Oryzias latipes: one gene and its partners. Each later gene encodes a partner of the first gene's protein in a complex. Links are inferred from orthologs where the notes say so. Each region holds a gene or a part of one and is shown on either strand. Other genes may lie near its edges.

The links. Proteins that work in one complex are often made in the same cells at the same time.
Region 2: the proteins of orc4 (region 1) and orc5 are in contact, whole or in part, in a cryo-EM structure (PDB 7JPO), measured with the Homo sapiens proteins. The link is inferred for Oryzias latipes from reciprocal best matches to the Homo sapiens genes ORC4 and ORC5. Residues at the interface, in NP_001177808.1 of Homo sapiens: Ser18, Gln21, Arg22, Arg25, Glu26, Cys29, Arg30, Gln31, Arg69, Thr74, Asn100, Leu102, Leu103, Gln104, Ile105, Ile109, Glu113, Arg116, Asp162, Arg277, Met281, Met284, Leu285, Asn288, Met311, Asp312, Ser313, Lys314, Asn316, Ile317; in NP_002544.1 of Homo sapiens: Ile17, Ser20, Leu21, Phe22, Gly23, Glu24, His26, His27, Phe28, Ser29, Phe30, Pro31, Tyr36, Gly37, His38, Thr39, Thr98, Phe99, Asn100, Val103, Arg104, Arg131, Glu134, Asn136, Pro139, Gly140, Arg143, Gln145, Glu146, Leu147.
Region 3: the proteins of orc4 (region 1) and orc2 are in contact, whole or in part, in a cryo-EM structure (PDB 7JPP), measured with the Homo sapiens proteins. The link is inferred for Oryzias latipes from reciprocal best matches to the Homo sapiens genes ORC4 and ORC2. Residues at the interface, in NP_001177808.1 of Homo sapiens: Lys168, Asn169, Arg195, Glu200, Leu201, Lys204, Arg205; in NP_006181.1 of Homo sapiens: Asp501, Asp504, Tyr508, Ser512, Gln518, Glu522, Val554.

Annotation. Positions count from the first base shown.
Region 1 is NC_019860.2:3,471,680-3,478,912, forward strand, and holds orc4 (origin recognition complex subunit 4), read right to left. Parts: upstream 4,795-7,233; 5' UTR 4,667-4,794; exon of another isoform or gene 4,661-4,666; intron 4,577-4,660; exon of another isoform or gene 4,558-4,576; intron 4,007-4,557; 5' UTR 4,001-4,006; coding exon 3,944-4,000; intron 3,859-3,943; coding exon 3,782-3,858; intron 3,631-3,781; coding exon 3,540-3,630; intron 3,467-3,539; coding exon 3,391-3,466; intron 3,309-3,390; coding exon 3,223-3,308; intron 3,141-3,222; coding exon 3,092-3,140; intron 3,012-3,091; coding exon 2,860-3,011; intron 2,789-2,859; coding exon 2,615-2,788; intron 1,865-2,614; coding exon 1,778-1,864; intron 1,714-1,777; coding exon 1,605-1,713; intron 1,538-1,604; coding exon 1,442-1,537; intron 1,371-1,441; coding exon 1,303-1,370; intron 1,223-1,302; coding exon 1,043-1,222; 3' UTR 952-1,042; downstream 1-951. UniProt on the Homo sapiens protein: Component of the origin recognition complex (ORC) that binds origins of replication. DNA-binding is ATP-dependent. The specific DNA sequences that define origins of replication have not been identified yet.
Region 2 is NC_019881.2:17,804,967-17,812,317, forward strand, and holds the start of orc5 (origin recognition complex subunit 5), read right to left. Parts: upstream 4,234-7,351; 5' UTR 3,952-4,233; coding exon 3,838-3,951; intron 1,986-3,837; coding exon 1,893-1,985; intron 1,388-1,892; coding exon 1,211-1,387; intron 1,032-1,210; coding exon 957-1,031; intron 127-956; coding exon 15-126; intron 1-14. Other genes in the region: LHFPL tetraspan subfamily member 3 protein, read left to right, coding at 5,341-5,776. UniProt on the Homo sapiens protein: Component of the origin recognition complex (ORC) that binds origins of replication. DNA-binding is ATP-dependent. The specific DNA sequences that define origins of replication have not been identified yet.
Region 3 is NC_019875.2:17,272,688-17,279,770, forward strand, and holds the start of orc2 (origin recognition complex subunit 2), read right to left. Parts: upstream 4,234-7,083; 5' UTR 4,093-4,233; coding exon 3,966-4,092; intron 3,891-3,965; coding exon 3,738-3,890; intron 808-3,737; coding exon 721-807; intron 621-720; coding exon 531-620; intron 461-530; coding exon 429-460; intron 329-428; coding exon 271-328; intron 1-270. Other genes in the region: uncharacterized protein LOC101162319, read right to left, coding at 6,775-6,864. UniProt on the Homo sapiens protein: Component of the origin recognition complex (ORC) that binds origins of replication. DNA-binding is ATP-dependent. The specific DNA sequences that define origins of replication have not been identified yet.

The DNA.
Region 1 (7,233 bases):
CACTTGGAAATAGATTTGAACAAAAAACCACAACTAATGACAGTTGAGACAGAATTTTGGAGCCAAGTTAGCATATTTTGCCTTAATTAGCTTTCTGCTAGCTTCTAGAGCACGTTTTCAACACGTGTAGTGTTTTTGACTACATATTAGCCTAGCGGCTAGCAATATAGAATTTAGTGTGATTTCTTAAAGCAATTGAGTTTCTAGTATTATTTAGCCATTTAACATAATTTCATCTTGTAACATAGCTTTAAGTTTTTGTGTTTTTAGCCCTTTTTTTATATTTTAGCAATAACGCATTTAACTTAGTGTTTAGTTATTTTCAGCCTATTCTTGCAATGTATTTTCAACCTAATTATTTTAGTTTCTAGCTTTACTTGGCTGTAATTAGATTATAATTACCCCTTTCAAATGTCAACAATTCTATAAAGTCTCAATCAAGTACACAACAATCAATATATGAATATACCTGTTTTAGGAAAAAAACAATTAGAAAACAAATGTCAGTTCTAGTTAATTTCTGCATCATATACTTTTAAATGTTTCAAATAAAATCTACCTTATGGTATTTATAGCCCTTGTGCTATCTTATGGGGTCCAGATGACCCCACCCTTACACTGCCGTGTTCTCCCTACCAGGATAAAGGTGGAAAGATTTCATGTAATCCATGGACACCAGTGAAGATCACAAATCATTGAAGAAAAAAGATTCAGCGCACTGTCTAGTGGGTCTAGATGACCCAACTCCCAATGTTAAAGTGCCTAGGATAGCACAAGGGTTAGTCTAGATCTTAAAGATCATAATTGGTTTAAAGCCGTAATAAGTTTCGAGGTTTTCTTTAAAGAGATTTCACAGATTACCACTAGATGGCAGCATTTAGCTGTGAAAAACTTCACTTATATATTCTAAATCCAGAACTTTAAAGTTGATATAAAAAAAATAAAACAAGGCCATATTTTATCGTTTTATTAAATAGATATATTAAAAAAAAAAAAACTCTTCAATGGAATTCAACAGTTTCCTCTGAGGTGTTTTGTGGGTTTAGGCAAAAGCCGACAGGGCCCACTGCTTGATGTCGGTGGGGCATTGTGGGTACTTCTGCAGCGCCTCCATGATCTGGCTGCGGTCCACCATGAGCCTCATCATCTGGTACTCCCTCTGGGTTTTAGGCGAGCCGTCGACGGGCCGGACGAGCTCCAGCTGCTGCAGGTGCTCGAACCCCTGCAGACAAAGCGGACAAGGCCGAAGTGGGTGACACCTGGACAGTTAAAATTCCTTTGGACGGCTGGAAGAGGTCTCACCTTCACGATGACGGGCGGGCTGAAGTTATACATGGAGTTGGACTTGCGCTGCAGGAACTTTTTGAACTCTGAAAGCACAAACGCTCCGGGTTCTGTCCTGTCGTCGCACGTTTGGAGAAAAATGAGTCAAAGTCTGTACCGTTATGGACCATTTGCAGGTTGAAGGGCTCTCCTTCGTAAACATCGTTGAGGTGTTTCATGGCGATGATCAGGCACAGCTCCACAATGGACAGACCTAAAGGCCAGCCGTTAGACGTGACTCGGGTAAACTGACGTAACCAACAAACGTCGACAGATTTTACCGTGCAGCATGTTGGTCTTGCAGTCGGCGAGGCAGAGGCGGCTGGCATCCAGCAGGTCTGAAGCTTTGATGGTGGGTTTGGCGAGGGTGACCCGGCTCAGACACAACATCTGTAACTTTAGAGTTATAAACGACTGACAATAATTAATATAAGGACAGTGGCGTATCCCTTACCAGGAGCACGTGCAACGACCGAAAGTCTTTGCTGCAGTCAAAGTGTCTCTGCAAAACGTCCTGAACAGACTTGTCCTCGATGAGATTCTAAGGAAGAAAAACTAAATGTTAGTCGTCCTAAATCAGGTCTCCAGAGGTACCAAGTCCATAGCAACCATTGAAAATGTTTTACGTCTCTGGCTGATGACCAGGTGAAACAAGTTTCATATCTCTATCCTTAAATAAATATCAATGCTTTCCATAGCAACCAATACTTAAGCTTGTCAGACAATGTTGCATTCAGCTCGACACGAGCATGAACCCTTTAACGTGGGAGCTGTCGCCGGTGACATGAAAATAGCACAATTAACACATAATTAACGGAATTGGGAAACGGATTGTGATGCGGAGAAAAAGCAGCTTTGCAAATGATGTTTGCACCAATATGCAACTTTTTCCCCTGAGTCAAAATCAGCCGATTTACATTGATCGCATAACTAAAGATCAAAAATAGTTGCACCGACCAGAGGTCTTTGGTGCAATTAAGTTTTTCTGCCAAATGTCTTGAACACTTATCCTCACTCAAAATTAAGCAAGACAAAAAAACAAACTAAATCAGTGAATTTTACCAGATCATGTTTCCACAGGCTCCCTAGAGGAATCAAGTCCATAGCAACCATAGATTTTTTCTTTCTTTCATGTTTTGGGCTGATAAACAAGTACGACACGTTTCATATCTCTATCCTAAAATATGTGTGAAAAGTTTCCATAGCAACGACTATTGTTGCCTGCTACACAATATCAAATGACACATTGTTAGATTCTTGATCACCTAGTGAAACATTTCACTTGGTTTACCTTTACACTGGCGTTCCACTCCTGAGCGAACCTGCTGTCGCAGAAATCATCGGAGAGGCTGAGCTGGGCCCGGACTCGGTCCAGGTACTGACTGAACGTCAAGCCGCTCAGCAGGTGGATCTGTCGGTGAGAAAACCTGGACTTCACCCGCTTCTCTAGCAGCTCCAGGACATCCTGAGAAGACAGGAAGACGTCAAAGGGGTGCTACTCTTCCCTGACGAAAAAGTAAAAAAAAAGAGACCCACCAGCCTGCAGGTGAGTCCCACCACGGCGACGGGCGCCTGGGTGGACTGCGACACGTCAAACAGGTTGTAGAGCAGCGTTTGGTTCTTGTGGTGGGCGAACAGGTCGAACTCGTCCAGGACGAACAACACGGGGCGGCTGCTGGTGCGATCACCTGACGGAACCACAAACACAACCAGAGTGCTGGAGAGGACCGGATTTCACCGTCATCCACTTAAATTTAACCCGTCCAACCTTTCTTCAGAGCTTCCAGCAGGAAAGCCAAATTCTCAGCGAAGCTTCCCTGAAACGGGGAAAAAAAAAGAAAACATTTTTGGATCCGATTTAAGGCAAAAATGGCCGCCAAACTAAAAAGAAAAACATACGAAAACTTTCTCTCCAACGACGTTCTCCAGGTGGAGCTGCCTGGTTATTTCTTTAAGTGCAATTCTGTCGTCGGTCTGTAGGAGGCCTGGAACAAAAAACAAAAACAAAGAAAATTACTAAATTACTAGAGGAGCAGGCAGATTTGGAGGACACAAAGTCGCAATTACCGTTAAGGTGGACCTGCAGAAGGTTTTCCTGCACCTCCTTCTCCTCCAGCAGCTCCTGCAGAACGCTCCTCAGCAGCTGCGCAAACGCAGACGCCGTCAGACAACCAGCACTGCCCACCCTCAGCACCCCTCCCTCGCCGCCTCCTCACCGAGCTTTTCCCCGCTCCCCTCGGCCCGACGATCAGCACCGAGTTGCTCTCCCCGTAGACAGCGGTGCGCCTCAGCAGCTCCTCCAGGTGCCTGTATGGGCGGAGCTTCAAGTGAGCTTTGACAAACGATGGGGGGTGGGGCACCAAACTAGGTCGGCGCCGTCAGCCTGAACTGGGTCACAGAGCTGCGGGTCGTCTTTGCTTTAATCAGACACATAGCTAAAATAAAAATAAAAACCCACTTGTGTTGAGCTCCAACTCCATCGAGTCCTTTGGCTAGTTTTTGCTGGCAGTATCGCTCCCTCAAGATCCGTTGAACCTAGAAATTCATAAAAACACAAACAAATTCATTAAGTTCCAAGTCACTACCACGCAAACTCAAGGTTTAAGGAAGGGATACAAGCCTGTGTGATGCATTCTCCCAGGGGCTGATGGGAGATTTTCCCTTTCCTCTTACTCATGATGGCCTGACGAGAAAAAAGTGCTTTGTTAATAAAGTTTGATTTAAATCAAATGATCAGACTTTGAAGTAAACAAGTTAAAACGTTAAAATGATCCCTTTAAGTATCCCACCTGACGTCACATTGGAAGCCGAATTGTAAATAAAGTTTTATGTATCAAGAATGAAGTCTTTTGTGTTTGTAGACATATAAACCCCGCCCAAAAAAAGGAATTTCTATATTTAAAGAAATGTAAACAGGAAGTCCGATGTTCCTAGTGCCGGGTAGATACTGTAAAACATGTTGCGTTGCTGTTGTATGAAAAGGGCTTTATAAATAAAGTTTGATTTGATTCCAATGATTGGGCTTTGAACATGTTAAACCGTCAAAATGAAGCCTTTAAGTGAATTTGCTGAGGTTATAATGTCAGCCGAATTGTAAATAAAGTTTTATTTATCAAATATAAACAGCGCATTCCGTTTCTAGACGTAAGAAATACGTCGTGGGAAAACATTATTTTAATGTAACCACATTTAAAACGGAAGTTCGGCTATTCGGTGATCCTGCTGGAGATGAACCTAAAAGAAACATCACGTTGAAGAAAAAAACACCCCCACGTGATCACGAAATGTTGAGAAGTTGAGCACAAAAAGTTGCATTTAGTAAACAAAAGTTGTTTACACTCACGCGGCTCCAGAAAACACCAAACAGTAGCCCCCCGGAATCTTCCCGCGACTTTTGCGACACACGAGATGACTACTTCCGGCATGGGCTGAATCTCCGGTCTCTGATTGGCTGGAAGAAAACTCGTGATTGACTGAAAGCGGATGAGTATATTTTTTCTTTAAAATAAAGGTTAGTAAAACGCTTTAAAACATCAGAAACGGCATTAAAATATGTAAATAATTGATAAATAATAATATTATAATGTTGTTTCAAACAGAAGCATGGTTTGTGAGTTTTCTCAGTGCTGTGTCCGTTTTTAAATTACATTTAATCTAAATCCCATGATGACTTTTACTGATTCATTTTCATTGGAAATGTGCAATTTCTTTTTTTTTTTAATTGGTTTTATTACCAAACTAAGAAAAAAGTTTGGGAAAAAAATAATAATTTTGGGGGGTCTATTTTTCATTTTTTCTTTATGATGCAAATAAAAGAGATTATCTCGATGTAAACACAGATTTATAAAACATAAAAATTTACTTTATTTTGTTTAAATATTTTAATTTTGTTGTTAATGACTAGGGAAAAAAACAAAGTAACAAAAAAGAACAAAAATCAAAGAAAACCAGTTAGCTTTTTTTGCCACCTTTTTTATTTTTACCTTAATGCTTTTCTTCTTTAATGTCCCTTTAGGAGCTCCGTAGAATTCTTCTGAGCTACCAGTCTACGTTCATATGACCACTTCCAATAAAAAGTCTATGTAAACAGGTGTAAATGCATGTGACAGGCCTCCAAGTTCAAAACATAAATAGGCAAGTTTTTATGGCCATTTTTGGGCTCGACTAACGAAATGTTCATTGAATGTGTCTTAAAGCGGGTCAAACTTTGACCAATCGGGGCCCTCGGATCTGGTTGTGATGAACAAACGGCGTCCCTTTTGATTCATGGAAGAATTAACATGTTGAAAAGTCTTTCATACCGGAATAGAGCTGTGCTAGAAAAAAAACAAAAAAGAATTCCCAAGATTCGCACCACTTCAACATTTTGCACTAACCCACTACCAACTGTAGATGGCGCACATGCGCTAGTAAACAGTGAACAAAAAAAAGTAGAGGAAGAATCCCTCCCTGCTTGTCCATTGTGAAAACCGTGGGCTAGACGCACGTTTAAGAACTTGCATTCAAGTAACCACATCCAAAAAAATAAAAGTGTATAAACACGTATTTCGGACTTCCAAGTTTAAAACGTTCCCATTTACATAGAGATGCGCAAATTTCTACAACCATGGGCTAAATGACCAATTCGTCATTTCGCGCTAAGCCTCTTTCAACTGTAGGTGGTGGTAAGGCGCTAGTCAACAGAAGCCCCTTCTCGCTAGTCCATTGTGAACATTGTGGACTAAACGCGTGTTCAAGAAATCACGTTTAGCCTTTTCTTTTTCTTTTTTACACTCGCCACACCTCCCTCGGCAATTTGCATTCAAGAGGCCACTTCCGATAAAAACTCTACGTAAATGTGTGTCGATGCACGTTTCGGGTTTCTGTGTAGCTACGCAAGTCTTTACGACCATTTTTGTGCTGGACATGCTAAACTTGAACGCATGTTGCAAGTTAAAGTGGGTCCAACTTTGGCCAACCAGGGACTCTTATTTGGTCGTGACGTATGGACGGCGTCCAGTGCGAACACCGTCGGCTAAACGCACATTCTAGAACTCGCGTTCAGCACGTTTTTGAACGCTTTGACTGACCGTAGCTTTAAGCTACGTTCACACCGCCCTCAGCAACGCGTGTTCAAGCGACCACTTCCAATGAAAACTCCATATTCCAATGCAAAAGCTTCATCCATGCAATATGCACAAAATGTACGTGTTGGCTGTGTGACACGGCCTTTAGGTGAATGTGAGCTGAAAAGCTCTGACTTCCCCTCATCCTCAACATCTTCAGCGTGTGCGGTTAAAGAAAAAATAAAAACAAGGATGAAAGATAGCAACAAAAAAAAAGGGCATCAAGACTGAGTGATGTGAGGACCACGCCGCTCTGAAGGTCAAAGCTGAGGCGTGTCCGCCAGCAAAAGCACAGCCAGGCGTCCACGCCGTATTTTACAGTAATGGGACCAGACGAGTGCGAGCGCAGACATGTGAGGCTTTACGGTGCTTCTGTCATCCGTCTAGAGAGGAAGAAGCTGCAGGAGGGGAAAAAAACCTGCAGCTGAGCTGATTTATAGCATTGAAAAAAACACTTTTTCATTAACTATTCATCAACACATCATATTATTATAAATGCTTACATGCAACGTTGTCAAAATCATCCCATTTAAATAAAATTACAATTTTTGGATGCTTTTATGAATGTTTGTTTATGTGTTAATGTCAATGGTTTCTTGTTTTTATAAAGAAAATACACGTGTAAAAAAAATGTTCTTGAATTACTTATTTGTTTCATTATGAAACCAATTCAAGAAATTCTAGCAGAGGGTGGGGGTGGGGGGTTGTGGGGACAGCAGGTGAATCGCGCAGGGATTGTAAATAGGTAAAACCCACTGCCTGTCACTCACTGCAGCGTGTGAGTGTGTGTTTGGCTCCAGGTCCG
Region 2 (7,351 bases), on another chromosome or scaffold:
GAGCCTGTGAATACCTTTACTGTAGTCTGGGAAGTGGAGCAGGAGGGGCTCAAAGCAGCCCGTGTTCGGTCTGAACGTGTCCCAGACTATTTCACTGAGCAGGATGACAGTAACATTGTCCTCAACCTGCAGAAAAGATGCACACAGCAGCAAACAGAGCATTAGGCTATGCTACAGCTCAGTCAGAGCTCCCCGTGGCAGCTGCAGCCGTCATTATGGCCCGCAGCAGTCCTGGACGCCAGAGATCAGATTGTTTTCGCTTTCTACGGTACTATCTTTGAGTGAAAATTTCCCCACTGTCACACATTTAAAAACCACAATTTGTACGCACCTAGTACCAGGTGACAATATTCTATAAAAAAAGATCCAACAAAAGTGGTCTTTTTACCCAGCTAGGATGACTTTTAGCCTTTGTTGTGTAATATTTCAAAAACGCCCAAGAATATTCCTGCTACTGAAACACATGTAATTACACCTTTGTGATTATTTACACAACTAGGAAATGATTTTTATTCTGAATATGGTGCATATAATTGTAGCAGCAGATGCTTCAGTTATTGAAAATGAATAAACTGTTTCAACCCTTTATAAATGAAGTGAATCTGAATTATCTGTGGATATTTGAGTCAAATAAATATGTCTTTAATAACTCCCCTTAAAAAAAAACTTTTCTTTATCTTTCAGCATATTTAAATGACTCTGTATCCTAATTATTGTGTAAAAATGCAGACAATGTTCCAATAAACTACTTCCTAGAATAAAAGACAATCTGTCACTTGAGTCTCTAATAAAATGCATTGAACAATTAACACTATTTCCTCCATACAACATTATGAAAAATCTTGCACTCAAGCAAAAGGTCATCCGTTACAAATGATTTCCTTCCCTCCTTCATCAACCACACCCTCCAGCAAAAATATGCTGGACAGATGAGACAAAGAGCTGAATCATCTCACCAGCTCCTGCAGGCGGAGGAGAGCCGGGAGGAGGTTAGCATCGGCGTCTCTCAGAAGTTCCGCTTTTTCCATGACCTAAAAAATTCAAAATAGAGTTCATCATATCCACTCGCAGTTAACTTCTTAGACTTAAATTTGAACAGATGAAACGATTTGGAGATGGAAAAATTACGATTTCAGCATTTTTCAAGTGAAAACCATGAGTCACGAGAGCACAAACGATGGGAAAAAAGGAGGGAGGAGCGTGAACTCACAATGTAGCGCGTTTGCCGGGCAGGCGACTGCTGGCGGTAAATGCGCACAAAGTCTGTCAGGGAGGGGCTGCGAGGGAGCAGCGAGGCCACGTCGCACCCGAAGAAGGACCGCAAGACTTGCTCAAACAGCAGCGCGACAGAAACGCATTCGACACAGCTGAGCGTGGCGTGAGGAAGCTGCAGGAAGAGGAGGTGTAAGAAGGAAACTGAGAACTCTGGAGGATGCACAAAAAAAAAAAACATCACATGGCACAAAAATCCCAGCTGCTACTTTTTAAAAACCCAACAACATACTGCCCAAACAAAGACAACACTTTAGAGGGTGGATTTTATCTTTTGCAGATTAAATGTAAATGATAAATAATCCTTTGGTTTTAGCAAAAACACATCTTTTTCACGTTTTACTTTTGTAACCCACAAATGTAATTGACATCACCAGAATCCACTTATTTACTTGAAAAAAGCGCAATGTTTAATTAACTAAACACTCTTTCAGTGTTTATTGAAAGAAACCCCGTGTTCTCTTGTTGTTGTCATTCCTTCATTATCCTTTCAACTTCGAAAAAGATGAAACCCTAAGGAGAAAAAGCTTTCAGAATCCATCTTTTCTTTGACGCTGTCAAAAGACAACACTGAGAAACCACATCTAAACCAAAACAACCACGGATTTAACAGACATCACCTCCAGCTCCTTCATCAGAACATTTATTACATGGCTTTTTCCTGAAGCCCGATGACCGTAGATGAAGATTGAGGGGTAGCAGTACTGGTGTGGCTGTCAAGAGAAAAATAACACGAATGTTACTGTCAATAATATTAGATCATTGCACCAGTACTAGGTAAAAACAACATAATACATTGAAAAATGCTCTAAATACTATATTAGTCATCACCTAAATGCCCAAGAATAAAAGGGTTACTTTATTTTATTTGAAGCGCTTATCAAGACGCTCAAGATGATTGTAAGGCAGCTTAAAATAGTATAAAAACAAGATCATTACATACAAAATATACATATTTGAGTAACACTTAGAGAAATATCATATTTCAGTACAGTGTCCATTATTTAATGAAATTATTAGCCTAATGTGACTCCATATTTTTAAAGTCCATCTCACCTGTTTCACCAAATTTCCCTTTTTATTTTTAGTTCTTGTATTTATTTTAAATACCCGTATTTTCCGGACTATAAGTCGCACTTTTTTTCATAGTTTGGCAAGGGGTGCGACTTATACTCCGCAGCGACTTATATTAGAAATAAATTGAAATAAATACATTGTTAACCCTCCTGTTATGTTCATTTGTGAGGAACAGAGATGATGTTCCTGGGTCAATTTGATGTATGAGGTAAGTGTTAAGTGTAAGTGTTAAGTGTTAAGAGTATGTTCAGTGACTCAGAGAATCAGCAAACTTTTTTTTACAGTTAGATCTTGAAGGCTAACAACATAATATTCTATTTTCCAAAGATTTCATAGATTCAGAAATGCAATAAAAGTGAAAACTGTTTCTACAAATACAGGATGAAAACAGAGTATTAGTTAGCCAATGATGCTTCATGAAAGGAATAAATAAATAAGTTTGAGAAAAAATTACTGTGAAATTATTAGATAAACAGTCTGCTATGATTGTGTCATATAAGGTTGTGAAAGTTAAAATGCGACTTATAGTCCAGTGCGACTTATCTGTGTTTTTTTCTACTTTATAATGCATTTTTGGGCTGGTGCGACTTATACTCCGGAAAATACGGTAGTCTGTAATTGTGCAAGGTGTGTCTCTATATTTTAAGTAAGAATTTAAAAATAGCAAGAACAATACGACTACGTTTCTGTCCAAAGTCTCTTTAATCTATCTCGTCTCACAAAGACTAAATTCCTATTCATGAACACACTTTTAAATAATAATAATAATAATAATAAAAATTACAACCTACTATATTCATCTTTTGATTTATTTACAAAGTGTTCCCAGTGGTCTTTTAATTATGATGATGCCCTTTTTTAGCTAAAATCAAAAACCCTCTGACATTTTCTAAGACATAGTTTCTGCAGAGCGGCAGTAATTCATTATAAATTCACGTCTGATTGTGGGAAAGACTGTTGGCACAGAGTAACCCTGCCCACAGCTCTGTTTACACTCTCCCACTATCTTTCTCAAACACCCAAACTAACATTACTGGTGCAACAAAAAGGGTGAGCAATATTGGAGCTATATCCAGCCGTACATTTGGGCGCCAGACACTAGTTTGGGCGAAGAAAACAAAGACATACATGGATCTATTTGTTTACAAGTGCATCAGAATGGAGCTGAGCAGGGAGCTTGTGTGTTTTCTACATCACAAATATACGATCTTTTTCAAACAGAGCCTTTTCGTCTGGTCCTGGATCACAATTTTAATAAAGAAATACTTTTAGAACATTGGAAAAATGCCACAAGTACATGTTACAAACAATTTTTAATGAATCAGAGTGGGTATTAAAGCAACTCCGACTGGTGTTTTAACACGAGAATGAGAATTTATGAAAAACTTTATTATTATTATTTTATAAATACATTGACTAATAATTACACTGTTTTGCTTTGGGAATTTTGTTATCAGGTGGACCTTCCTTGAGTTAACGGCCCCATACCTCTCCCATAAGGGACAGCAACATCCCAGCCTGAACTTCTCTGCAGGGCAGCTGCTCTGCGGCTCTCTTCAGCCTCTCCTCGTCGTATCCAGGATGCTCTAACAGTCCCGCCATTCTGCTTTTCTTGGTTCTAACTTTATAGTTGAAGCCACGAGGAGCTAAACTAATAAACAAACCAAAACATTAGCTTAACTTTCACGAAAATAAAGATGACGGTCGCCAGCGTTAGCGGCAAAAAAGTGAACTTGACGTCGTTAAGTCGAAGAAAGCGCGTGATACAAAACTTTAAAACACTCCTCAAAAACTACGTTTTTATCGAGGAAAAACGAGCAAATGTACTTGAAACCGGCTGCGATCACTTTGCGCGCCGTTGGATTACGTCATAAACTCCGCCTCCGTATGATCCAATCAGAAAAGTATTGTGGAACTCTGGGTAATGTAGTAAAAATCCGAAACATAAAATAAAAAACAACTTTAGACATCTTTTAAATCAAAAAGTATTTTAAAAAAAGAAACGAAATAAATAATTATACTTTATTTCATATATATCTCATAATTATGATGTGTAATTTTAAAAACGTTGGAGAGTATGCATCTAGTATGAGCTGTTAAGAATGATTTTTTTTTTATTAAAACGAGTAATTATACATATTTTGGCTAATCTGTATTGTAAATAACCTTCCTGATTTACCCATTACCCAATAAAACTTATTTTATTGTCTCTAACCTTTCACCTTTTTAGGATTATTTGTGTGTTTGTTTTAAGAAATATGATAATTAAATTTAACCAAACTAAACTAATTAGGAATACCTAACATTTATATTTTGAAAATAGACTACAATTCAGAAATTTTGTAAACGAACCTATTTAAAATTGTATATGTAGGAAGAGCGCATCCTTGTTTTTTTATGAACTTGTATTTATGCTGATCGTATCAGTCATGCGCACTGGATTGACGAGCAGAAAAATCAAAAGCATTTAGTCTTCGCATTTGCTTTCATATCAATGTGTCTGTTCGGGATTTACGCGCGTTACCGGAATAATGCGTCAGAATGGGATTAAGGGATGTGAGTTGCCTGTGTAATATCCGCAACTATCTTCCGACTCTAATTCAATAGGATCTCATCCGCGGCTGCTGCTCCGTCGAGAGCACACAGACCATTTCAGCCACATCTCAGCCACTCGTGGCAGCTGGAGCGGTGTTATCGTCTCAGGCAGAAACACCAGGAGGAGACATCAGGGGAGCGGGCAGAGGAAGCCTTCTGCAGAGAGGATTTCTCAAGCATTTCAATAGATTGTCTTTCTTTTTCTCCCGTAGATTGATGAAGGAGGAAAGCGCAAAGAGGGCTCAAGTCAAGGATGCGAGCGCGCATTGAAGACGCGTAAAGCATCCACGTAAAACAGGAAAATTAGCTAGTTCTGATGAAGATTACTACCTGACGAGGAAGAGGTTTGTTTACTGAGTGCAAATCTTAAGTCTCTTACCTCACATACACCGGAGGATGGTCCCCGGGGCCCCCAGCGCGACCACCACCATGCTTCCCGCCTCGGAGGCTGCCAAGATCTACCAAACCAACTACGTGCGTAATTCCCGGGCCATCGGCGTCCTCTGGGCGATATTCACCATCCTCTTCGCCATCGTCAACGTGGTGTGCTTCATCCAGCCGTACTGGATCGGGGACGGCGCAGACACGCCTCAGGCGGGCTACTTTGGTCTGTTCCACTACTGCATCGGGAACGGACTGTCCCGGGACCTGACCTGTCAGGGAAGCTTCACGGAGTTCAGCAGCATCCCCTCCGGAGCGTTCAAAGCCGCCTCCTTCTTCATCTGCATGTCCATGTCGCTGGTCATCACCTGCATCGCCTGCTTCGCGCTGTTCTTCTTCTGCAGCACCGGAACCGTGTACAAGATCTGCGGCTGGATGCAGCTGGCTGCAGGTAGGACTGCTCTGCTTCCAGGTGGAAGTTCAGGGGGATGTTAGGAGTCAAGCTATGACGGAAAAACAACTGACAGAGCCAAAACAGTTATTAAAAAAAATCCAAAGTATTGCCTCAGAATGGCAATTTGGAAGAGATCACACCTGAAATTACATCTTTTGTCAAAAACAAAGTCAATAATACAAATTTGCCTGTAATTGTCCGGCCATAAGTCTGCAGCTTTCAACACTTAACCGTCCTGCTCCGTTTTACCTCACCCTTCAGAAAACTAATACACTGATTTATATTTATACTGTTACTATGATAAATTAACTTTTTTTTGGCATACATAAAACATTAAGATAAAAAAGAAATACCCCAATTTCACAATATGATTTTCCCCCTTTTTTAAAGTCTTTATTCAGAACATTTAAATGACATACAGTAAGGAATAAACTGTGCATCACTTTTTCAAAACAAATGCCAGGGGGTTTGCAAAAGTAAAAAAGGAAAACTACAACACAAAAGTAACGTTATGTAATTCTATTAAGCTGAGACAGATAATAGGTTTTAGTTCCTTTTTGGGAAGAAATAGTGTGTAAAAAACGTCTGATGTGGGCAAATAACTGAAATACATTTTGACTTTCTATTGTTAAATTTTCAAAATATCAAATAGTTTACAACTTTTGGAGTGGATTACATGACTTTAATTCAAAATAAAAGACTTCCCATGCCACATAGAATCATCTCAATGCAGCAAATGTAGAGCAGTGATTAAAAAAAGCAGTTTATTTTATCACTTGAGGTGCATCTCAGCCAATTGTAAATGTAACTTAAAAACTTACAAAAGTAATCAAAATACTTTAACTGTATTTTTTAAGCATTATTATACTTTAAATCCTTGAATTCAAAAACAGAAAATCTGCCTAAGTTCTGGTAGTTGACCTCCAATTGAGTTTCTGTAGTACTCGACACACAAAAATCTTGCACAATGTTTTTGTTTGACTTGTGATATGTACTGTCCTTCACAAGTTTGTGAATAGGTTTTGAGTTTCTTTCATTTTTTTTTTTACTTTACTGCTTACTTAGTTACTTTTTAAATTTAAAACCGTTTCTTTGACCAGACAAACCACAATGGTGGGATAAAAGAGCCAGAGGTTGCAGACCCCTGATATAGGTTTTCACCAGAGATGTTCTCTATCACTTGAGTCAATTGAAGCTCACTTTTGGGTTGTTTATACCTTTTATTTTGAAGTCCTTCATGCAAAATAAAGACAGTACATTTTATTTCCTGTGGTCAAATGTGACGAAACACTTAAAATAATTATTGGGACCATGAAAACAGGTTTCAATAACGTCTGTTGGTATTTTGATTCATTTTTTGTACTTCAATATCGAAATTATATATATTTTTACCTTTAAAGTGAGTTTAGAATTCGACAGATTACTCGGATCTTACAGAAGTTAAAGACCCACTTTGAGGCTAACTGGGTTTTTAACATGTTCTTGTGGCATTTTTCTGATAATGGAGGGCATATATTAAGACTAAAACCAGTTTTATTAGAAGCCAATGATGTTGGAAACAAAGTATTTGTC
Region 3 (7,083 bases), on another chromosome or scaffold:
CCCCGTTGGGCGATAGGACCCGAAATTAGGGGAACTATGCCTGGGCAGGGCAAAGCCAGAGAAAACTCTGGTGGAGGCCCGCAGCGGTCACGACGAGCAAATCGGTCGTCCGACCTGGGTATAGGGGCGAAAGACTAATCGAACCATCTAGTAGCTGGTTCCTTCCGAAGTTTCCCTCAGGTTAGCTGGCGCTCGAAGTCTGGCAGTTTTAGTTGGTAAAGACCAGATTTGATTGGATTCATTATTTTTTTTGCATTGTTTTGGACTCACCTGTCAGTCTCTTCCTGAGTCTATGTGGGGTTGTGGAGACAAACTGGACTTTTTTGCTCTGTTTTTGGAGGAAAGCAGGAATGGTGACCAAAAATTGCATGACCGTGACTTTAACCTCTTTAAAAAATAAGAATGTCTTTAATTTTTAGTGGTCTCACCCTATGTGGGGTCCGGTTTCCTGCTCTGTGATCTTAAGCAGAGGAGAACAGGAATCAGCTAAAAGTGCTTGAACAGAGGAGCAGAGGGTCTGGGGAACTCACCGCGACCTGTTCGAGTGGGGGTTTGTGGTTCAGTGCTTGAGGTCGTGCTGACGTTTGCGCTTTTGCCCGGCGTTCGCGCCAGTTCATTCGCTGCGTGCAAAAACAAGAGGCAAAGGATGCTGGGAAAACAACTTCTGCAGCTTGCAAGACAGTTTGGGCAAACATGTGAGAAGAGGCTGGAGAACCTCACCAGTTTGGGCCATGCGGTGGCTACGCTTGATTTTTTGGAAAGTAAAAATAGAGGATCCAGCCACTCCTGAGAGACCGTCTTCATCTGCTGTAAAAGAAAAGGATCAAAAGATTCATGTGAATTATTGAGACAACTCAGAGAAGTTTCTCTTTTCCAACCTTCTGTTACTCAACTACATAAATGAATAACATTTGGTGCTAGTTTACAAAGTTTCAATCGTGTTTATTTTTGGTCACTGATGAAGAAACTCTTCCTCCAGCATGACTGCAGGTGAAAATGCAGCTGAAGTGGCTGAAATAATGCTGAAAACCCCGACGGAGGTGAGGGAAGGCAGAAAAATGTAAACAATGACGAAGGAAAATCCTTCAAACACTGGTATAAGAAATCCAAAAGAAAACAGAAATGTAACAGAATGCTGTCAAAAGTTTTACGAATATCAAAACACTTAAATCTTAAAGACCAGCTGGTCCAATGTAAAAAGCCTTTCTGGAGGTTTTAACATATTCTCGTGACATTTTTTTATGCTGGAGGACATATATTAAGAAAATGGATCCCAAAATTGCATTCTGAGTATTTCTCTGCTCACATTGTTTTTAATCGAGGACAGACAAAAAAATCCAGTTGGAAAAACAGAATATTTGTGATGTAGAGCCACAAGCTCCCTGCTCTGCTCCATTCGAATGCATCCATCTGTGGACGACTATATTCTTTATTTTCCTTATCCGACCTGGCATCTACCTTAAAACTTTACAGCTGGATAGCTCAGATATAACTCTCCATTTTTGTTGCACCTGTATTGTTAGGTAGGAGGTTTGAAGGGCTGTAAGCTAGCAAGCGAACGTGTAAACAGGTGGATGATGGGAAGTGGGGTAGGGCTTATTCCACGGCCATTGGTCCCGCCCACAACTCAAAGGCGAATTTCTAATGAACCACTGCAGCTCAGCAGAAATTATGTCCTAGAAAACAACACAGCCTTTATTTTATTTAGGCTAAAAAGGTATAGTCATAATCAGAAGATGTTTTGAAAATAGCTGAAAAGATGACCAGAGAGGGACTTTAAAGATTCTCAGACTGCTCTAATTGACTGTTTCAATAAGTTAAACCTGCTAGATTATTTTTTGCTATGCACAATTCAACCCAACAACTACAATAACATTATTAATAATATACAAACATTACACCTTGTACAAGAAGAAAACAGTAATTAATATGTTAATACACTTTATACATTTTAATACACTTTATTTAATACAATGAAATGTGATTATAATCTATCAAAAATACCAATGAAACTATCAAACTTTTACTTTTACTTAGAATTTGGGAAGACGCTTTTCACCCATAACTTCTCCCCTCACAACACTGTTTTATGGAACAACAGATTTATAGCTGTAAACAAGAAATCCTTGTTTATGTCTGAATGGTATGATTATGGTGTGTGTTTTGTTCATGACTTGATGCATACTGATGGAATGTTGTTATCATACAATGAGTTTGTAACTAAATACAAAATTAAGGATTCTAGTAACTGTTATAACAAAGTCTGTAAAGAAATTCCAATACCTTTACTTAATCTTATTCATAACATACTACAATACAATGCAATCCAACCACAATTTTCACAGCTGAAAATTAATGATATTCCCATAAAAGATAAAAAATGCAACAATAAATTAGTAACTCTAACCTTTAAACAAATCATTTTCTGCAACTTTAGTAAAAAAAAATAGATGCGACTTAGAAACCACCCTAATGGACAAATCTTTTTCTTAATACAAAAAGTTCCCACTTCCACCTAAAATGAAAGAAACACATTTAAAAATAATATTGAAAAATTTACCCTGTTGGAAATTTTTAACATAAAAGATTCAAATTTCAATGGGAACCATGGCTATTCTGTTCATCTGAAACTGAAACGTTGGAACATCTCTTTTACAGTTTCAACCAGATACAAATATTTTGGACTGATATTCACAATTTGTTGTCACTTAAAGTTTTAAATATTCCCTTTTTTTCTTTATCTGATGGTTTTTTCTATATGGAAAATCTGGACCCGGGAATTTCTGATGTCATTAATGTTGTTATTATTTTATGCAAACATTTCATTCATTTATGTAAATGGAAAAATACATGCCCTTTGTTTAGTATTTTTTGAATTATTGTTCTGATTATTATGAGTGTCTTAAATGCATTCCAAAACAAAAACAAGAAAACTTCAGTAATTTCTCAAAATATATCAAAAGTATTGTTATTTTGGGGCGACAGTGGCTCAGGTGGTTGGGCGGGTCGTCCAATGATCAAAGGGTTGGCGGTTCGATCCCCGCTCCCACCAGCCAAAAATGTTGTTGTGTCCTTGGGCAAGACACTTCACCCTCCTTGCCTCCAGTGTGGCTCCACTGGTGTGTGAATGCACATGAATGATCCTGGTGATGGTCAGAGGGGTGCGAAATGGCAGCCACGCCTCTGTCAGTCTGCCCCAGGGCAGCTGTGGCTGCAACTGTAGCTTACCATCATCAAGTATGAATGAGGAGTGAATGAATAATGGACATAATGTAAGCGCCCTTGGGTGTCTTGAAAAGCGCAGATAAATCCAATCCATTATTATTGCCTTTTTTTAAATTTTGTTTTGTTTTTTCTATATGCACATTTATAACGATTGTTCACCCTAACTTGGTTTGTATATGAGCATTTATAAAAAAGAAAAAAGAGGCACACGTTATTAATAATATTAGTATTATTGTTTATTTTTTGGTCTTATGTGTGTGTTTGATATTAACAATTGTTGCTTTATTGTGCAAATTGTGTGAATTTCTGTAAATTGAAAAAAAAATGTACAATAAAGTTTATTGGAAAAAATAGAGAGCGAGAGTCTGTATCCATTCCTGTGTATGTCAACATCTGCATGTAAAGAGCTGTGATGTACCTTTAGTTCTTCATGGCAGGAGTAGGGTTAACTTGTTTATTGAAGTTGTAAATAAGCAAAAAATGACTAAATGACAGAGTTGTTGTCGCCTCACCTGTTGCATTATCTGCTCCCAAAGCCTGGATATAATTCTGCTCGTCAAAGACCTCATCTTCCTCCTGTTCTTCCTCCTCCAGGCACCCCCGACGTCCAGCGGGGCTCTTAAACGTCACCATCCTCTGCACAGACTTTCCGCCGCCCAGCACGCCTGCGCAGACCAAACACAGGGAGTTTAAGATCACCGCGTCTGCGCAGATTTGTTGAAAGACTTAAAAGCTTTTACCGTCATGTTTCTCCACGATGTGCTCCAGAACATCCTCATCCCCGACAAACTTCACCTCCATCGCGCTCGGTCCTCTAATGGCAAACACAACACACTGCGTGGTTGGACGCCGAGAAGACCGATACATACAGGTTGACCAAAAATATAAAACTTTATGAAAAAACACACTGACAGCGTGGGAAAAGCTCGTAAAAACTAAGCACCTTGCAGAGAAACGTTAGCAAACTGAACTAAATACCACGGTGAGCTGACAACTTCCCGCGCCATCCTTCTGAAGGTTTAAACCACGTGACAGGCGAAAGGTCGTGTACTGACCAATCACAGCCCACACACTTAAAAAATCATTACCCAGAATGCACTTCAAAGTCTAACTTTTGTAAAGGTTTCCGATATAATTTTTTTCACTTATTTTTTTTTTAACAACATACAAAAGAAATGTGTGAGTGGCCGTTGTAAAGATAGAAATAAAGCAAAAAGAAGGAACTAAAGTTTATAAGAAAATGTGCCTTTTTAAACACACGTTTATTTCAGACTCAGATGTGGTCCATAGAAAAAGATACAAATACAGTATACATAATAAAAAGTAAAAATATATAAATTAAAAAGAGTATAATCGCTGTATCCAGTGTTTCCTCAGGGCAGAAGTGTAGCTGCATGAGCTTCTTTTGGGATCAGTCAGAGACATGATAATTGAGTTCTTAGATTTGTCTAGGCGTTCCATAAGGCCGTATGTAAGCTTACGCAGTAGTGCTTCACTGGTGGGGATGTGAGCATCCACAAATAGCTGACTGGCTCTGTACCACCTTGGCACCTGTAGCAGAAGCCTAAAAGCATCATTATAGGCCACTAAGAATTTGCGGTATGTCCCACGTCCATAGTTCCACCAAAGAGGGGCCGTATACAGAGGAGTGCAGTAAGCTCTGAACAGCGAACATTTCACTTGAAGAGAACACGTACTGAATTTTCTCATCAGCATGTTTGCCTGAGCATAGAGTTTACAGTACTGTCTCTGAATGTCTCTATCATCCCTCCAATCATCAGTAATGAAATGTCCAAGGTATTTGATAGATGAGGTTTGTTCCAGAGGCGTTCCACAAAGCTTAAAAACAGGAAAGTTTACATTTCTGTCGTCTTTGGTCCTTACAATCATTACTTTGCTTTTAGAGGGATTGTAGTTTATATCAAAATCTCTGCCATAGTCAGAACAAACTTTTAAAAGTGTTTGTAACCCAGCACTGTAGGGGCTAAAAATGACAAGGTCATCAGCATACATAAGATGATTAAAGGTCTGACATCCAACAACACACCCAGTTTTGCACAGATTCAGAAATTACTTTAGTCGAAATTGCCTTTTTTGTTTTAATTTGTTTGAGGATTTTACCAAAAAGTGTTTTAAATAAATTTTTAATTTGACTATGACCTTTTTTGAATATGAAAATTCTCCAAAAACCAAATCAATTGTTTTATAAAAAAACAATGTTCCAGTCAACGTTGATCATAACAACCCATAATGATGTCCTTTTCTGAAAGTTTTAATGTTTTTCCAGTTTTATATGACTGAATTTTATTTCCAACATCAAACGACAAATTAATTATTTGAAGTCTAACTTGTTGACATACCAAACCATTGACAATTATATGCGTCGTTTTTTTTTTTAAATCAACCACTCTGGTTACATTGTAATTATTATAAAACTATTTTAAAACACACGTCTAAAATCTTGGAAAGAATTTGATTTAATACAAATGTCATTTGTTTGAAAATTAAGTTGCATTAGCAAGATGCTGACCAGACAAGTTAAAATCCTTATAAATCTCACTTTAAATTTGATTAAAGAAAAGAAATACACATCATACCCCCATAAATACACTTAAGTACAAACAAATTGGCAAAATTTAAATCACTACCAATTTTCTATGTTTTTTTATTGCTTGTGATTATTTTTTTTTAATCGAATAAGTGGTGGGTTTAAAGCACCTTTGACAAACAATGCAATTTGCTTTATAAAGATGTTTAGTGTTTACTCCAACCAATATTTATTATCCTCAAAACAAAAAGAAAATGCCGATTGACTTATAATTTAATGAATGTATCTCTAGGTCCTATTTTTTCAGAAAAATATGGATTGGCAAGAGCCAAGAGGAAAGCAAAAATAATCTGGAGCTAAATTTTATTACAATAATTTTAAGACATTCCTGGAAGTGATTTTATTAAGTTCCACAACTACACACATTCTTAACTATGAAAATGTAAAATTATCATTGCATAGTTTACATTATTTTTCATATATTCATCATGAAAAGATGCTCTGCTTAAGCTGGAATTTCACTCAACACATGTAAATGTTTTACAAGCAACTCAAAAGTAACATGCATGACTATAACATAACATAAACATGCAGACATGAGCTCAAAAATCTCACCATAAAACATTTATGAAATAATTTCAACCACAGAATCAAACTGCTAAAGTTGATGAACCTGCAGATAAAATTCTCTTATACGCTGAGGATTAGTTGCTGATTCCATTACTAAAGCGCGTGCAGTCTAATTTAATTTTACACCATGAAATTCTATAAAATTCAGAGAAACAGCATTGTTATGACTTTTGTTACATGACAGTGCATTCAAACTTTTATTTGCTTTTATTTGATCAAAATATATCTACAGATCTTGGAATGATAAACTTTATTTATTTAATTTGATCTTCCATTATTTGGAACTCAACTACACAGGTTGAGTTTTTTTTCCTAAAAGTTTCAACACACTTATCCCACGGAGAAGTTATTGTATGACAGCTGGATAGGCTTCACCACCCACGAGTGGGGGTCCACTTCCCCAGCAGATGTCCGTCACTATGAATATGATAGACAGGATGCATCATGGCTGTTGCACACGACTGCAAAAAAGAAAGTTACATAGCAAAACTCAGATTGAAGAACATCTAAAGTAATGTGTACAGACTATGATAGCATCACTTAAAATAACATATTCAAGTTTAGCTGTCAAAGGCCGTTTCTGCTAACAGAACCCTAGACCACTCCGGTTATATCATGATCCATTTTAAAATCGTTCCCAGTGGTCTTTAATTTGTAATTAAAAAAGCTGTAACATTCTC